3 linked regions of the Stegostoma tigrinum genome follow. The protein of the gene in region 3 purifies or fractionates together with the protein of the main gene of each other region. This does not show direct contact. Links are inferred from orthologs where the notes say so. Each region holds a gene or a part of one and is shown on either strand. Other genes may lie near its edges.

What was found.
Region 1: the proteins of eps15l1a (region 3) and intersectin-2-like purify together in Homo sapiens (affinity purification with mass spectrometry; 5 studies listed by BioGRID and IntAct, with this or other methods). This does not show direct contact. The link is inferred for Stegostoma tigrinum from reciprocal best matches to the Homo sapiens genes EPS15L1 and ITSN2.
Region 2: the proteins of eps15l1a (region 3) and ap2s1 purify together in Homo sapiens (affinity purification with mass spectrometry; 4 studies listed by BioGRID and IntAct, counting the BioPlex papers as one, with this or other methods). This does not show direct contact. The link is inferred for Stegostoma tigrinum from reciprocal best matches to the Homo sapiens genes EPS15L1 and AP2S1.

What each region holds. Positions count from the first base shown.
Region 1 is NC_081357.1:74,094,394-74,098,146, reverse strand, and holds the start of intersectin-2-like, read right to left. Parts: upstream 2,330-3,753; 5' UTR 2,175-2,329; intron 1-2,174.
Region 2 is NC_081392.1:11,812,122-11,815,874, reverse strand, and holds the start of ap2s1 (AP-2 complex subunit sigma), read right to left. Parts: upstream 2,269-3,753; 5' UTR 2,087-2,268; coding exon 2,084-2,086; intron 1-2,083. UniProt on the Homo sapiens protein: Component of the adaptor protein complex 2 (AP-2). Adaptor protein complexes function in protein transport via transport vesicles in different membrane traffic pathways.
Region 3 is NC_081383.1:43,284,706-43,288,458, reverse strand, and holds the start of eps15l1a (epidermal growth factor receptor substrate 15-like 1), read left to right. Parts: upstream 1-1,441; 5' UTR 1,442-1,502; coding exon 1,503-1,529; intron 1,530-3,753.

The DNA.
Region 1 (3,753 bases), on a different chromosome or scaffold from region 3:
AGAGACGACTGGTGGTGATTTAACCAGAGGGTCAGCATGTCTCAGATGAAGGGAGAGGTCGAGAAGCAGAATTGCTCACGGTAACGTCAGCCAGTGTGGGAGCTGAACCAATGCTGTTGGCATCACAGTGCATCGCAAATCAGCCATCCAGCCAAAATTATCTTGTGTTCTGCCAATACCAATCATTACTCTATCCACGAGTTTTATATTGCAATTTGTGCTATGTTATTATTATTGAAAAATAATAGCTTTGAAGTCACTTTAAAAGGCTAATTTTCAGATTTTACATGATTTTTAAGAAAACAAGCTCAACTTTAGACTTACAGTTTCAGACACCTACAGGCCTAATTTCATTAGTACATTACAAATCTCATTCGAGTCAATTAATTGGTACTTTAACAACTCAAAATATCCAAATCAGTAGCACTTGAAAACTTACCAGCATTCCAACCCTGCCCCTCCCACAACGATTCAACAGCCATAGACAGCTCCAACTAACCTACTGCCACGACAGTTGAGTGGATTAAGTCAATTCTACACCGTCACAGAGAACTCTATATAATTTACTGAACAATGGCGATCATTCTTTCAGGTTATCATGGTTATAGGGAAATATCTGATATTACAAACTCAGCCAGATTCAGGATTTGAAACAGGATGTTAAGCCACTGAAAATAAAATTTCAATTCATGATGTCACAAGACTTCCTCCACTGGGCAGGTATTGTCTACGTCACAAAACACAATTTGTATTGATTCCATATCGTGATTGTTCACAGAAAAACTGCTGCTGGCAGCCTTACTGTAAGCTACTTCAAAATAGAAATAAAGGCTCAGCAATGCCTTTTTTAGCATTTGACACTTTTTCCATGTTTTCACTTGGGAAAATCCACACAAAATAGCAGGGGGAGAAATTTTGCAGTTCACAGGGTTAGTTAATTTAATAATACAATATATATGACCGGTTACTCCCACTCTTAAGAATTCTCTATCTTGGATTCTAAATTCCTACACTATAAACAGTGAGAAATGGGTATTTAATAACAAAAGGTACTTTTAAACTATATAGTTGAAGCCAAGGTACTTGACTTCAAATGTCCGAACTTTTCTAATATGACAAAAAACTGCCAGTTTCATCACGTGGTGGAACCTCCAGCAAAACACGAGGGGATATTCCATCACATGTAAGGCCAGAAAATGAGTGACCACATACTACATGCCAACCTTGCAGATGGATGGATGGAGGGACATCTTAAAGGACAGGTGATGCATCACAGCCAAGTCTGATCCCATCTTTGAGGACACAGGTGTAGTTATTTCTAATCATCCTGTTCAGACATGTTGTGACAAACCCCCAGGACAGGCAGGACTTGAACCTTCTGTCCCAGAGGTAAGGACACTGTCAAATGCCACAGGACCCCTTGTGGCCACAGATGTAGATATTTTTAATCAACCTGTTCAGAGATGTTATTACACACTTCTGTAGCACGTGGGACTTGAATTCAGGGCTCATAATTATCCTGTTCTGATGGAACAAGATCCGTGACCAAGAAACCTGTCTGCATTTTCCTAACAATGTTGCCCAGGAATGCTCATATTTTCTAAAAATCAATACAAATATACCAAATTTTGAAATATTCATGTATGCTGACTGTAGCATTTCAACATGTACGATCAGTGTTTAAATGGTACTAAGTCCTCACTAATCTGGTAAGGTACAATACTGTAAGGAAATTGACCAGCTGGTTAAGATACTGAGCCACTGGCCAGCCTGGGAAAACGACCAGCCTCGCCGATTCTGCGGTGAACTTGAGTGACCAAGCTGCCCGTTTGTGAATGTCAAAACAGAAAACAGACTGAAATGACAAGCCTGAACTTATTCCCGTACACCCCAAACAATAACCATTTCTTGTTCATACACAAACCAAGCCCCAGTCGTTGCCCTTTAATTCCCAGCCCCAGATAACGATCCAAGGCTGGAATCCGCCATACGGAGTGGTTTCGTCGGGCCCGAGGACGGTCACTGTCCCCGACACCTGCCGGACGGTGACGGTCCGGTCCGTCCGGGGGAGGGGGAAACTGAGGCCTGGAGTGTCCGGGCAGGCAGCCTCCGGCCCCGGGGTCTCCCTGCACAGCCTCCCCTCCGGCCCGGCGCCGGTGCCCAGTCTCACTCACCTCTTCCCGCAGGCTCCTGTCCGGCCCTCCTCCGGAGACTTGTTGCTGATCCGCGGTCAGAACAGTAACATGGCGCTGACAACCAGAGAGACAGGAAGAGAACTCAGCACAGAAACAGGAGGAGGGGGAAGGAGATACAGACAAACAGATGGGGGTGGGCGGGACAGAGAGAGAGAGACGGGGCTGGGGAGGAGATAACGAGAGGTTGGGGGCAATGGGAGGAGATACAGAGAATAGGCGTGTGGAGATAGAAAGAAAACAGAGGGAGGAGACAGGGAGAGAGACTTCTGGCTGGCCTCTCATGCTGTTTTTCTGGCATTCATTTATTGCCCCATTCATTGCCCAGCCCTAATTGCTCAGAGGGCTGTTGAGAGTCAACCACATCGCCTTGGGTCTGGTGTCACATGCCGGCACTTCCCTTCTCTAAAGGACGTCAGTGAATCAGATGAGTTTTTTTTATCCCCAACAATCGAAAATGGATTCGTGGTCATCGTTAGACTCTCCATTCTAGATTTTTTTAATTGAATTCTAATACCACCATCTGCTATGGTGGGATTCAAACCCAGGTCCCCAGAACGTTACCTAGCTCTCTGGGTTGACGGTTGAGCAATAATACCACTAAACCATCACCTCCCCACCTACAATTCATAATCTTGAGATATTCCAAAACATTAATGCCTCTGTCCTGTCTTGCATGAACTTCCACTCAAGAATAATGCCCATTGCTGGTCAGCCTACACTGGTCCCCAGTTTTGCAAAAGTTGAATTTTAAAATTTGCATCCTGTTTTCAAATCCCTCCATGACCTCACCCCTTATCACTGTAACCTCACTACAAAACACTGAAATATAGGAAGGATGTTGTTGAACGTGAGAGGATGCAAAAATGATTTACCAGGATGTTGGTAGGACTGGAGGGTTTGAGCTCTGGGGAGAAGTTGAATGTTGTCATAGAGATATACAGCACAGAACTAGAATCGTCCATGTTGACCAGACATCCTATATAAATCTAATCCCATTTGCCAGCATGTGGCTCACATCCTCTAAACTTCCTATTTATATACCCATTCAGATGTCTGTTAAATATTGTAATCATACCAGCCTCCACCAGTTCCTCTGGCAGCTCATTCCATACACACACCAGTCTCTGCATGAAAAGGCTGCCCCTTAGGACCCTTTTATATCTTTCCTACGTGACTTTATACCTCTGCCCTCTAGAGGTCTAGCTTTGGAATCCCCCAATCCCAGGAAAAGACCTTGCCTATTTACCCTATCTACTTACCTCATGATTTCATAAGCCTTTATATTGTCACCCTTCAGTCTCTGACATTCCAGGAAAAATAGCCCCAGCCTATTCAACTTCTCCCTATAGCTCAAACACTCTGACCCTAGCTATATCCTCGTACGCATTTTCTGAACCCTTCCAAGTTTCACAACATTCTTTCTACAGGAGAGAGACCAGAATTGCATGCAATACTCCAAAAGTGGTCAAACCAATGTCCTGTAGAGCCACAACATGACCTCTCAATTCCAATACTCAATGCACTGACCAATAAAGGTAAGCATACCAAATCCCTGGAG
Region 2 (3,753 bases), on a different chromosome or scaffold from region 3:
AACTTGGGAATAGGACATAGCCCAATTTATTCTTAATTTTTGTAACTGGATGGAAGAAAATGCAGAATTGCCCCAGAAATGAGAAGAAATCCAAGGGCAATAATTTGAAAGCAATGTAGATATTCCAACTGAGTGCACATATGGTATGGGACAGAAGACGCAATGCATACAGATCAACTGTAAGCCACATAACAAAAACCCTTTGCCTAGGTCCCATCACATTGACAGAGAATTTAAGATTATAATCATGATTACTTTGCCATTTCAAGGAATGCAAAGGAATTGTGAAGGTAAGAGGTCTGACAATTCCCCAGATGTAGCTTGTTGATCTCTGGTAATTCCTCAGAGGGGATGTTTTCCTTAGGGATAGAGGAAAATCAAATATTTTACTGAAATGCAAAACTACACAATTCCTACATTTGGTCACAGAGCAAGGAAGATGTAGGTTGCCAACATGCTTCATCAGTTTGAAGCTCAAATGCACACTCTCATATATACAGGGGCCCATCCTCTGCAAACAAAAAGAATATGCTCAATGCTTGTGTCGCCTTTGAATTATCTGTAAGATCAGGGAACCTGTCATATCTTCATTGCTTTCTTCATGGCAACACCTGACTGTCAGAATCCACTTTCTATCCAATCAACACCCTTTTCTCTTGAAATATAAATTGCTGTGGCTGCTGTCATTCCTTTGACCTTTCAAATTCTATGCATCTGTCTCCTAAATTGAGGTATCCTTGCCTATGCTTTAAAGTAATTTACACATCTTTGTACTGTTTCTAAATCTATTAACTGGTTGTTAATTCAATTACTTGCTTCTTTGTGAAAATAGCAAACACTAGAACTTTTCACGTAATATCATTAGTTTTTCCTACCGAAACATTAAATTTAGTTTATTTCTTGCGAGATACCCTGAACATATGCAGATCCAAAGGAAGTCAAGTTCTTGGTCCTAAAATTTAGAGGTATGGTCCAGTTCCAAAACACTAACTGGTCTTCTTCAGATGCTCTCTCAAGATGATCCATAAAATTGAGAGGGAAAGAAACAAATTTGCATGTCCTCCCTTATTTTATGGAAGCATAACTAAAGTATCAGAACCAAAATAAAAAAACTCAGAATAAATCAATTTTATCATGGACCTGTTAGATAAATTTGTTCCCTAAAAACAAAACCTAATGCACATTTCTAGCATTTGGTATGCATTTCGGATTTACAAAGCAAATGTAAAATCAAAACATTTTCACCCTAACAGGACCATACCCGGGTTTACACTCCATCCAAGGTTCCTTCAATCCTTTCTTCTCTAACCCCCTCAAAAGATTGTCCTATTCCTTTTGTCCTCGCATTTTTATGAACTTCAGTTAAATTATTCTCAGCTATGCCTTATGAAAGTGACACAAACAGAAACTGCTGGCAAAACTCAGCAAGTCTGGCAACATCCCTGGAGAGAAATCTGAATTGTGTCCAGTGACCCTTAGAAACGTGAGTTTAACGTTTTCACCACTCTCTGGGCCAAGTCATTTTCCTGTTGGATTTATCAGTGACCACCTTATCTACATATGGCCCACGTGACCTGGTCTGAGCAATATGTAGAACCATCTTCTCGAAATCTGCCCTGACAAAACCTTTCACATTTATGAAGAACCTTACCAGGTCGTCCAAAGCTTTTTTTCTTCTCTGGAGAAAGCAGCCCCAAACCTGTTCAGTTTTTCCTGATAGTTGAAACCTGTCAATTATGGCTACCACCTTCAAAAAACTGCTCCTTTGAAAATGCAAAAGCTCAATTATACCTGTACCATTTTTGACTTTTACGACATAAAAACACTCAGTGGATGCTTTAAGCAAGGGAAAAGCGACAAGGCCTCTATTTCACGATAAGTATTCACTCTGTGGCTGTAAGATACCAAAGCAAACATTTCAATCCTAAGGTTTGCCTTTTTGAAGAATTACCCACCTTTTGTTAATTCATTTGCGTTATTTTTATAATTTACAGAAAACCCTTCATCGCTGGGCTTACGTTAGGCCTCATCCTACATTCAATCTATTTCGAAATGGGGAAATTAAAAAAAGATCACTACTTACCATTACGACTCTGCTTTTTGGGTGTGGTTTTCTTTTTATAAAAAGCTGTGTTTTATGGGAGTTTATTTCTTTCCCTTTGCCGGGACATATGATATTTTATTTCAGAGGGGACACTTTTTTTTCTCCCTTTCAGTCACCGCTGACTGTCAGAACCCGCAGCCCACCACCGCACATGCGCTAGCCTCACCCAAGGCACGCTGGGGAATGTAGTTCTTTCCATCCGCGCCCGGCCGTTTCCTCCTCTCTTTCCCAATAACACCACAATTCAAATCTATCACAATGCGTCCCTTTTGGAATGCTAAGGAAATATTTTTCACCGGGAGATGTTACTATAAAAACACAAACGAAGTCCCAGGTCACGAAAATGACTCTCAAGTTTGTCTCTTGATTCTAGCCATGTTAATCAAGCCTAGCAGTGACTCATCGACATTTAGATGTCTCACTAATCGAGGAATACGATTGCATTACAATTCATTGTAATGCTGAGTGAATTAAATAATGCAAAAGCTGTATACAGCTAGGGAGATGAGACTACAATTCCCGGCACCCTCGGTCACACCCAACTTCCGATCCGGCGCTGTCGCCTTCCACATCCCTCAGCTCCACCACCACCCTCAGAGCCGCCGGAGGCCTACAACCTAACGTGCTGGATGGACGCCGAACCTGATTGACGTGATCAATGTCCAATGGAATCCGAGTCTCCTTGGAGATTGCCCAATGGAAGCCTAGAGAGGGTAGGCGGGGATTTAAAAAAATGAAATCATCAAGCTTGGTTGGGAAAACAAACGACGATGGTGGAGGAGCGAGGGGGAAGGGGGTGAAAAAATGTACTCATTGTCGTGAGGCCAGTTTTTTAAAGTATTATTTTGAGGGGGATAGTTGAGGCGGCAATTTTGAGTGAAAATCGGGCGGGGCCTATCGAATGGTGTGTGCGGAGGTGGATTTTTGTTGATGTTTGACTAATTGTTTGACGATCGGGAAGGAGGAGGAAAGAAAAATATATTTGTCTCTTGGAGGAGGAGAGATCACCTGACCCATCGAATCACTGCGCCTCCATGGCGGCCTGAGAAGCATCATGGGCGATGTCTACTCCTGGGGGGAATCTAGCAGCAGCAAAGAGAAAAAGTTGTTGAAGGGAACGAGTACGGAAGAAATATCCGCCATTTCTGTCCGGTCATAGATTTGCAAGAGGAACGAGAGCAAAGAGAAAGCAAAAGAGAGGGTTTGGGGAAAAAAACCACATTACTTTAATCCACATACATTCCCTATCCTCCAAATCTGTCCTGTGATTCCTTAGGAAAACAAGATGTCTGCTGACCATAAATTTTAAGATAGACCCAGGAACAAACCTGTGTCTATTATTTGCCTCATCTTGTGGAAAGAAAGCAAAGGTAGGGAGATGTTTTATTTTCTTTCTCATCTCTCACGTTTCCATCTACAATCTCTTTTTCTTCCCATTGAGTGGATCTTTAATTTGTATTCTAAACCTGCTCTTTCTCTCTGATTTTGGCCTCCCAGCATTTATTTCGTTGGAAATATTTCGGGGGAATTTTTGCTGGTGTCTTTTGGTTTGTACATGTATTTTGAGAGCAGTCAATGGAATAAAATTTTTTAGACTACTTGATGTGGTTGAGTAATCCATGTGTCAATACGTGTTGAAGAACTAATTT
Region 3 (3,753 bases):
CCCTCTAACTAAATCTTGCCTTCTCCAACATTTCTGGTGTCTAATTTGTGTCGTAATTTCTGAAAACAGAACCAAAGTAGGTATTCAGTTGCTCAGCCATTTCTTTGTCCCCTATTATATATTCCCCTGTTTCTGTTTGTAGGGGGACCTACATTTGTTTTTATCAATCTCTTTCTCTTCAAGTACCTATAGAAACTCTTAATATCAATCTTTATGTTCCCTGCAAGCTTACTTTTGTATTGTATTTTCCCCTTTCTTAATCAATCCCTTGGTCCTTCTCTGCTAAATTCTAAACTGCTCCCATGCCTTAGATTTACTGTTATTCTTGGCCATTCTGTATGCTTCTTCCTTGGATTGGATACTATTTCATACTTCCTTTGTAAGGCATGGACTGGTCCACCCATTTTGCCTTTGTGACAGACAGGAATAAACAGTTATAAATAACTGAGATTTCCTCAATCTGGCACTGAGGATTCTGCAAATTACTTGTGACATCTTTTCTGATGCTTCTATCACTTAATAAATACATTATTAGCACTAATGTTTTTAGTTGAATATTACTTACTTCAGGATTGGCTACTTGACCTGCTGAAATTTTTGCGCCATGTAATTTTAGGTTTTTAATTCAGGTTTTCAGGTGCCACAGTACTTTGCTTCTATGTCTATGTCACTTCTGAGGAGGTGGGTAACACAATGTGGTTAATAGGGCAACAAAGTGTAAAGCTGGATGAACACACCAGGCCAAGCAGTATCTTCGGAGCACAAAAGCTGACGTTTCGGACCTAGATGGGCAGTTCTTCCTAATCCTATGGGTGACACAGTATCCTTTGATCATTAATATCCTTCTCTGGATGCCCTGAAGTGGTGTTGGGGGACCTTCTGAATGCATTGCTGTAGTCCTTGGGGTGATTTTGCTCCACCCATGATACAGGGTAGAAAATTTCAGAATTTTAACAGCGGTCTTGGAACATCGACAAATGCGAAATTAGTGGTGGATGGACTTGCACATACCGCCACGAGGTGTCCGATGCTAAATGTAACCATCACAGTGCACAGCTTGGTGGAAATATTCAAATGCTCAGCAGTGGGGAGATAATAAACGGAGGTAACATTTTAGGTTAACGACCTTTTGTTTGAACACCGAGTATTTCCAGCTTTTTCTGTTTTTGTATCAATGTTCTTTTCTGCTTCTGGATGATTTGTGTATTTGTTATTTTTCGAAGCCGGTTTTTGAGAGTGATGCTTTACTGAGAATGGGACACGCTGCTTCCTCAAGTGGTTCAATGCCTTGACAGCAGCTTCTGGAAACACATGGCAAAAGGCAACATCAATCGGTGCTCGTGCAGCGCGCGCGAACCCCCTTGGTGATCAGGCGGCGCGTCAGGCTCGTCGCCCCGGCTGTGTGCGTGCGCGGACGCCGCCCGTGCGCGCATGCGTTTCACCAACACTCCCAACCACAACCAAAAGCCCGGTCTGAGCGCGGGTGCTGCTCCGCGGCGAAGATGGCGGCGCTTGTTTCTCTCACTCAGGTACCGAGAATGATTCGGCTGCTGGGGTGTTGGTGAGGGAGGGAGAGCCTGGGGGACGGCGGCGGCGGCAGCAGCAGCAGAGGCTGAATCTTCTCCCCGCCGAGGCCCGAAGCCTCTGGAGCGGGGTTTCGTATAATTTCACTGTCAGTGAGAAGGGTAATGGAGAGACGCCTAGGCCGCGGCTGGGGTGAATCCGAGCGGATGAAGGTGGGCGACGGGTGGGAATACGAGGTGGTTGCGAGTCTGAATGGCAAGCCGAGGCTCCCAGCCAGCACCAGCTTTGCAGTAGTTCCAGGAGCCCGCTCCTTCCTCGTCTGTGAATGCAGAGCACGTCCCCTTATTTCCCTTCTCTTACTGTGGCTCGTGAGCATAGGGTCTCCCTCCAACTGCTGTTTGTTTACAGTCAGCCTGCAGTGTGGAGGCTTGGTGGGTCTGTGCTTGCTGCACTGTCTTTCAGTGTTCCAAGCAGAAGCCTGGCATCCCTTCCCTCACATATATAGACTTCCTTAGACATTGCGAAGGCTGGTGCCAGTGTTTGCATCGCCTTCTGTCACATTGGGGCATGGATCTAGAGTTTTCCTGCTGTCTTTCATTCCAGCGGACAGTGTAAGAAATCGAAGTTGTTTGAGAAATTGTTCATAGCCCGAAAGCGCAATGTAGAAGCTTTACAGGGTTTTATTTTCAGCCGACTCCTTTGACGTCTTTTCCTGAATGTGACAACTTGCTGGAATTTCACAGGCACCGTGAACCCCTGAAATGACTCTACTAGTGACCATCCTTCAGATTAGGAAACTGCGTTGGTGATTGTTGTGCTGTGTGACAGGGATGGGTTTTCAGAACTGAGCCTGACATCTATACAAAAAAATCCGCACAAAGTATAAACAACCAGCAGGGGTCACTGGACAATTGTGCGGATCAGGAAACTTGGCTAATGTTTCTTTTTCCTTTGCCTGGAATAATCCTAATAGCTCCATCATGAATATGATTGAGGTTAATTTAGCTTTTGAAGTTTCTGACCATATGTCAGGCAGACAGGCAGTTTGCTATAAGCATGAGACAGGCATTGTAGAGTAAGTACTAATTACAAGAAATATTAGCCCAAGCTAAACCTTCCAACAGTGGATTATGGTCTCAGATGTGCATTGTTCGACGTTGGCAGACGTCTTAAAGGCGATTGAGCATTGCTGCAGTTGGGTCTGTACCAAACAATATCGTTTGTATTTTGGCATTGTAGTGGTCTATGAGAGATTCTCTCTGGTAATATTACTTCGTGAGCTGGGAGCAGTTTTGAGCACAAGAATGTTGTTTCTCACATTTGATATGCAGGATTCACTGTGGAGCTGCAGTTTTGTATTGGTCATGTGGTGCTCTTATATTGATGTATATACACAGCGGCTTGAATTACGAGATGGTAGGTAATAAAGTGAAACTTCTGGATCTTTGGTTATATATCAGTGTTTGATAAAAGCAAATATTGGCAGAATCGGTTTAGGTCGCATTTGCAGGAAGAGAAGCAGTTAATGTTTTAGGCTAACAACCTTTTCAGTATTTACAACTTTTTCTGTTTTTTCCATTCTTGAGATGAGTGTGGGAGAAGCAATTTAGACCCGAATTATTGTTTTCCTGTCAACTAGGAGACTGATTTCCTTGGTGCTGAAGGCAACTTTGGTACATGAAAGATTTTTATACTTGCCGTACTAACTCAAATCATTCTTTCTGTCTGTCCGTGAGGTATATGCAGTTAGAGAGATACTTTTTTAAAATTAATTTTGTGAACTGATTATTTGCCCAGACTGTTGGATTCTGATTCATGTCTGCTGGACCTGGTTTACAAGCTGTGGCGACTTTATGTGTGTGGCTTTTTATTTTCATTGATATCGTCATGCCTATCTTCTGACATATATTACTTCAGATCTGGTGAAACCTTTGTCATTCACTGATGGAAAAGAATTAACAGACTTAACCAACTTGTAATGTTCTTGGTTCTAAGATAGTTGAAAGTTTGTTAGGGCTTGGCCCTGAATTTGTGTTCCATTCAAAGTTATGGAATGTTGTGAATTAAATATACTTGCTTCTGAGGACTACTTCTGAATGTGGAGTAACTTTTTTGTCAGTGCTTTGTGTACATACACATGAGGTAGAGCTTTTGAATCAGTAATGTTTACATTGCTAAAAGAGCACTACTGAATATAGCTAGTAATTTGTATGATATGTATTTGCATTC